Linked DNA regions of Oryzias latipes. The protein of the gene in region 1 purifies or fractionates together with the protein of each later gene. This does not show direct contact. Links are inferred from orthologs where the notes say so. Each region holds a gene or a part of one and is shown on either strand. Other genes may lie near its edges.

Region 1 (3,650 bases):
AAACCCAAATGAAACCCTCTCTGATCCCCTTGTTTTTTCCTTCAGGAGCTGTCCTGAAATGAGTCATGGTTCTGGCAGATATGGCCCAGGACACACTAATCCTTCTTGACCTGCTTAAGCCTTCTTCCTGCTGGCTTGGAGGCAGCGACATAACTCCAGTGGATGTAATCCCTGTTCAAAATAAAGCTTCCGCTGAGAGAAATCACCCCAGTGATGACGCTCTGCCTTCTATACTCATGAGCTTCCATGGAAGATACCGCCACACGCCACAAACGCAAACGCTGGGACAACTTTCCTTTTCTGCAAATTCCATTTCTCTAACCTGGAGCTAAAGACTTTATATTTTACTAATAGGACTTGTCATCCAAAACCTAAAACACAGAGCAAGTTTTTTGTTGTTGTTAAAAACAGCCTAAATTTTACAGCCAAATATGCAAATGTGACTGTTTGGTGGTCTGTATGCAACAATATAAAACCCAACTGCAGAGTACGACCTTCACAGCAGTTTTCCTCAGTGCATTAAGTGTGTACTTCTCTGTGTGTCGTTTGCCATCGCTCTTTTAGCTCCAACAGCCACATAAACAGACGCCCCCCTCCCCTCAAGAAATTACCAAATCACTAATTGCCCCACCCCAGGGACCAGAGCAGCAGAACTAGTGCTAGCTGCTAGCTCATGCTGAGAACAATGGAGATATTGATGGAGTGGAGACAAATGTTTGAAGCAAATGGTAAATGGCATATGCTTATAAAGCACTTTCTACCTTCTTTCGAAGGCCCAAAGCACTTTACAGTCACAGTCCCATTCACCCATGCACACACACATTCACACACTGAAGACGTGCCCCCGGCACACACATCTGCAGGGTGGAGTTTGCTGTCAAACACAATGAAAGAGGTGTCTGCAGCTTTGCTACACGTCCAACATGAGCAGCATCTCCAGCGTCACCATCCAGTTGTGCCGCAGCGTTAAAGCGGGAGAACCGAGCTGGAAACACGAGCCAAAGAACGGCGGTCTATCACGGAGGCCTCCTAGCAACACAGAGTGCAACTGTTTTCTTCATTATACCTTTGTTTGGTAAGTACTGAAGTACCAGGTACTTCTATACTGAAGTACAAGTATTGATGTTTACAGTAAGTACAAATGTTCGGTGTAATGCTTTTCTACATATAGTCAGTGCTAAGAGTTATGCACAATTCTACCTCTTGACAAGTAAAAATGTTCATTTGTAAAAAAGGGAACATTTTTGGTTCTTTTGTACAGAAATGATTTGCTGCTCAGGAAAAACGTTGCTAAATCTATAAGAATTATTAGTGAATGCACAGAGCCCATTAGAAGTTAAAGAAGAGGTTTGTGAGTTAGCAGGAACTTCATTTAAAATGACTACACAGATGTTTGCCGGTCTGCCTGAAACAAACACTGACTGTAACTCAGAGCAGTGGACGTCACACCAGTGCAGGTGAATGCTCGTTAGGTGTGAACGGGCTTCGGACTGCCCTTTCATAAAGGATATGTTCGATGTTCCTGCGCAGGTTTTCATTCAGCTTGGCTTCCAGCTCAGTCAGCTCCTCCTCAGCCTTCCTCATGTCTTTCTGGAGCTCTAGGCGAGACTTTCTCGTATCGTAGTAGCCTCCAGTCAGAGCGCCACGGTGGCTGACCTGATCACCTAGAGGCAAATCACATTTGTAAAGAAGCAGAAGCGCCATAAAACCATCTTCAGATCACTTTTTCACATGACTGCTCGCCTCACACCAGAGTTTATCTGCTTTTAAAGCTCTTCTGAATCAGAAAATACATGTATTTTTCTGTCTGGCCTAAAACATGGACGTCTCAGATCCCTTGTAGGTGAATCAAGATGGTTTTCACATACAAATTGAAAACCGAGGGACTGTGAAGCCCACCAAAGAGCAGAGGTTAAAAAAGACAAGAGTTATAAAGATCAGCGGTTGGAAGGAAGAAAAAGAATGAAGCAAAAGCACGACCGTGCAGAATCACGATTGGCAAAACGGTTGAAAAAACGGTCTCTATCTCAAGACAAAACTGAAGCCTTTAGCATCCATTAATGTGTGAGAAGAATAAAGTGCACGGAAAGCTCACCCTCCAGAGTGATACAGTCCATGGTGAAAGCTCGGGCTAGCTGGGTGGAAACTTCCATGCTGCGACAAATTAGGGTCTTTCCAAACACATGCTTGAAGGCCTTGTCAAAGTTGGGGCTGTAGCGCAGCTTGCTGATCATGGGGATGGCATCCTTTAGGAACAGAAATGTTCAGATTAAAACACATTTATACCTTAAGGTCTAAAGGTAAGCAATGAATCGACCAAGTCCTACACAACATTATTATAGCATCCAACTAGAGGTGCAACCATTCATTTCAACGACGACTCGGTTCATATCGTAGTAATTTGAGGTGATGATACATTTCACAGTCGATTTGGCTTCATGCTGTCATTCTTGGATTTCTTCCAGATCATCAAGTTAAATGAAATCTGTGTCCAAACCAACAAGTAAACTAGAATGAATGTCAAATCCATTCACATGTTAGTTTCCTAAAGTTCACCACTGTTGTTTTTCCACATCCAAAGAATCCAAAGGGAACATTCTTAGAACATTCTAGACACTGGATGGTCACATGACTTTATTCACAGTCTGTCTACACATTGGACTGGAATGATGGTCAGTTTTTGCTGACATCACACGTGTGCTGATGGCTGTGAGGCACATAGCTTTTAGTAAAAAAATCTACCGTCCCTCAATCCAGATGGTATTTTCCAGATTAGATTTGATTAACAACTTGCCTCATACAGATCGATCTGGTTGGATAAATCGATTCACTGATTGATCCTAACAACCCTAGTTCCAACACAGCAGTCAGTTATCCCCACTTCCAGGTAAAGTCCAAATGAAGCTTTGCTGAAGGGTTCTTACATTGGTTTCTGGGTAGGCCGTGTCCCTGACATCCAGCTTGCTCAGTGGAAGGAACGTGACTTCTCCAGGCAAGTTCATTTTGTTGAACTCCATCAGTATTTTGGTGCTGACTTCATCTGTTTCTACGATGTGGTAAAACAACCTGAAATGCATGAGATCTCTTTTTTATTTATAGTTGTCACTATATGTAAAGAGATATCTGAAACAACAACAAAAATAAAAATGACCGTCTATCTAATCCAGCTGTACAGTAGTAGATAAAAAGGTCATAACCCTTACAGTTTACCACATATAGTCTTCCCTCAGTATATCGCGCTTCACCTTTTTATTTTACAGCACCTGGTATGTTCTGCATCCTGATTGGCTGCTGACCTCGTCTGTGCCATATCTCCTGTACAGAATGGGTTCAGTTTGCCAAATCTACATAAACCCTCATCGCAATCAGATCTTTGTTTCCATTCTATAATACTGGGCTTATTTTCCTATGAAGGTTTGAACTTTGAGAGAAAAGCGGGAAAATGCTCAGGTCTGTCTGAGAAAAGTGTAGAAAGTGTGTAGTGAGGAGTTTTACAGCCTTAAACACCTAGAATCCATGGTGACATTAGTGTAACATCAGAAAGTCTTCTGTGGTCCACTTGGTCTACATCCAACAGAATTTTCCTTTAAGGGGAAATGGTTCTATATCCCCATCAGGGTTTATTTCTAGAATGTAACCCTCGCGATGAA
Region 2 (3,363 bases), on another chromosome or scaffold:
AACAGGAGCAGATGAAAAAAAGCATTTTTTTCTGTGTGAGCATTTACGTGTTTATCTTAATTTTCTCTTAGTAAGATTTACATATTTCTTTATCATCTGATCATTTTGTGACTGTACATCTAAATTCATTTGATGCATTTGGTTTTATTTTTTCGCTTGAAATAAAAGTCCTGATTCTAGACTTTTGCTGCTATAAGCAAAACTGTATAATTTAGTTGGATATTATGCAAAAAAACGATTTTGATTGGTTATAGGGTTACAGTTGCTTTTGACCTTTCACCCTCAGTTTTTTTAATTGAAAGGATTCAAAGTTTTTTTTTTGTCATATGTACAGTTAGAAAACGGGTTTTCATGCTCGCTCTGATTGCCATAAGGTTAAATTAAACATAGAGTAGGATATTTACAGTACTGATCAATTTCAGAGCTTCACAAAAACAGTTTGAGACAGGATCTGATGAAAGGCCATTCAAGGCTTTTCAGTTGAATTCTTTAGCTATGTTATAGTTTATTTGTTCATATTTCCTGTGTCATCTCCTTCTGCAGCTAGTTGATATTTCACTGCAAAGTTCTAAAAAATTGTTGTTTAATATAATTTAAAACTCTTTAACTGTACAAATAAGGGTAAACAAAATAAAGTGTATGTTTAAAAAAAGATGTTTGCTTTTATTCAAATACACAGAACAGAAGAAATGTATTTAAAAGACACATATAAGATATAAACAACCTTAAATGGATTTCTCTTAAACTAGAAAGAAAAAACAAAATTAAAGAGGAAAAAGTGCTGGTTACAGATGCCATGTACTTTATTTTTCTCTAAAAACATTTGGGAAAGTTAAAAAAAAAAGAGAATCCAAACTGCAGAATAAAAGCGTCTCCAGTCAAAACCTTTAGGATAAATGTTTCTAAAGTCCAATCGTCAGAATAAAAGCTTTTTATCTTCAAACTTCAAAGTAAGAGCTGTTCAGCACCAATTTTACGACTCAAAGCTTTTTATCTCCAGACTTTTGCATAAAAGCTTTCAAGCTTCATTTCAGAATAAAAGCCTTTTAGCTCCAAACGTAATTCTTGGGGAAATGCTCCTCAGTAAACGGTTTTAGCACTTAAATTCTGCCAAAGGATAAAGTCCGGTTTAAATAAACCAAAAAAACTGAAGTTACAAACGACTAGCAAATGTGATACTGAAAATGTATTTAAAAACTATTTCACACCAAGTGAAGGAATAAAAATATCTGGACATTTTTAACATTTTCTTGAATTATTTTTATCACAGTCCTTGAGAAGCTTCCCCTGGGCTTGAGTAGAGCCAGTTTCTACTCCACCACCAGCTCAAACTCCTCCGCCTCCTGGAACTCCGCGTTCATCTGGGCGACCAGAACGTCCAGCTCCACGCCGTCGATCGGCGCCACCTTCTTCCGCCTCCTCTTCCTCTCCTTCACCACAGCCACTCCAGGGATGTTCGGGTCCGGTTCGGCCGCACCGCCGGCGTCGGTATCGAGCAGAGACGTGAAAGAGTTCAGGGCAGAAATGGAGGAAAGCTCCAGAGCGCTCCTGGACTGCCCTGCCGCCCGGTTCACCTCCGGTGTCTGCAGATGCTGGAAGCCGAACAAAGTATCGCGAGAGTCCGGGCTGTGGAGGGACTTGTCGCTCAGTCTGCTGTAGGAGCGGCGCACCTTTCGCGCCCATTCTGCGTCCTCCGGGGTCGCTGGCGGCTTTTCTGCGGGGTTTGAGGTCGGCGGGGAGGAAGGCAAGATCGGGGACGGCATCGAGGCCTGTTTCTTCTTCTTAGCCGAAGAGATGGCGGAGGCCCTGCGGTCTGGGACCAAGTCAGGAGTGGACACCTCTTTTTTCTGCCCTAGTCTGTTGCTCGTTCGCCGTGGTGTGTTCTCCTTGTCCTGCTCCGCGGAGGTAACGGTTTTTCTCGGAGCTATTTTCCTTAGAGTGATGGACCGTTTCACCGGGACGGCCTCCAGCGCGGCCATGTTTGTGTCAATCTTCCCCGGCGGTTGCAGGGTAGAACTTAGCCGCGGCGAACGCCTCCGCGGCGGGTCTATGTGTCGGTTGGACTCCACCATCACGCTGTGAGTCTCCCCTTCCTTCATGGTCAACACAGCTTGGCTGTAACCTCAAAATTCCCCCGATGACGGACGCCCTCCGCTCGGTGACACACAACAAAAACACTCCCGCGTTTCAAATCGCCCGCCCAAGTCGCGCGGTTTGACGTCACCAGTATGCGACAGGCAGCTAGCTGAACTTTTGCTGTGTAATATTCTGAGCAGACCCGGCTGTCCGCGGCTGCTTCCTCGAATTATTCTTACATTTTTTTGTTTATTCGCGTTTTTCACGATGGAATATTTAATCGGAATCCAGGGACCAGATTTTGTTCTCGTCGCCGCCGATAATGTGGCCGCCAGCAGCATAATCCAAATGAAACACGGTAAAGTAGCTCGTCGTTAGCTGTAGCATTAGCCGCTCCGCCGATTTTTATTTTAGATTTAGGGGGGTAAAGTTCAAAGCGTTTTGAGATTTTATCTGGTTAAATCAAGCTTTTATTTCCGAATTTACAGTTAATTTGTTGTTGGTTTCTTATACTTGGCCACACTATATCAAATAATCGAACCAATGAAACTAATCTGCGTTCGATTTAAATTATTTTTGCGGATATTTGCTTAAAAATCGGTGCAGTTTTGCTCCCGATTTGAGTTTTTGGTGTTTTTCTGTATAATTGGTTTTGTTCTAAAATTAGCAGATTATGCAGCCTCATGCAGGCTAACTGTGAAAGTGAAAGTTCTAAGGTGTTTTTTTTTTTGATCCACCAGATTATGATAAAATGTTCAAACTGAGCGAGAAGATCCTGCTGTTGTGCGTGGGAGAAGCAGGAGACACGGTGCAGTTTGCTGAGTACATCCAGAAGAATGTCCAGCTCTACAAAATGAGGAACGGTAGGATGGAAACTACACAGAGCAGCTGTCTGTGGTTCATCAGGGGATCAGAACAAGTCATTGATGAAACTTTTTCTCCCCTAAAGGTTACGAACTGAGTCCATCTGCAGCAGCAAACTTCACACGGAAGAACTTGGCAGACTACCTACGGAGCAGGGTAACCATGCATGAGAGCAAAATACACTTTTAGCATTTAAAGATAAACATTTCCTGAAACTGAACACTAGAGAAACATTTTGAATTTTGTACTCGTTTTCAGGGGTGTTGCTTGAATTAACTTTGTTAGGGAAACGTATTAGGGCCCCATGGACGGATGTCTTACCCAATAGCATCTCTAACACTCACAAAAAGATGTGTTCTTACTAAAATTAAAAAAAAAAAAAAATCAATTTGAAAGCATGTAATTCCAAAAATGATTGTAAAA

What was found. The genes of interacting proteins can lie anywhere in the genome.
Region 2: the proteins of smc3 (region 1) and cdca5 purify together in Homo sapiens (affinity purification with mass spectrometry; 7 studies listed by BioGRID and IntAct, counting the BioPlex papers as one, with this or other methods). This does not show direct contact. The link is inferred for Oryzias latipes from reciprocal best matches to the Homo sapiens genes SMC3 and CDCA5.

What each region holds. Positions count from the first base shown.
Region 1 is NC_019859.2:36,690,831-36,694,480, reverse strand, and holds part of smc3 (structural maintenance of chromosomes protein 3), read right to left. Parts: intron 3,067-3,650; coding exon 2,925-3,066; intron 2,247-2,924; coding exon 2,096-2,246; intron 1,665-2,095; coding exon 1,512-1,664; intron 1-1,511. UniProt on the Homo sapiens protein: Central component of cohesin, a complex required for chromosome cohesion during the cell cycle. The cohesin complex may form a large proteinaceous ring within which sister chromatids can be trapped.
Region 2 is NC_019869.2:20,009,733-20,013,095, reverse strand, and holds cdca5 (sororin), read right to left. Parts: upstream 2,219-3,363; 5' UTR 2,100-2,218; coding exon 1,311-2,099; 3' UTR 639-1,310; downstream 1-638. Other genes in the region: psmb2 (proteasome subunit beta type-2), read left to right, coding at 2,344-2,434, 2,817-2,939, 3,026-3,096. UniProt on the Homo sapiens protein: Regulator of sister chromatid cohesion in mitosis stabilizing cohesin complex association with chromatin. May antagonize the action of WAPL which stimulates cohesin dissociation from chromatin.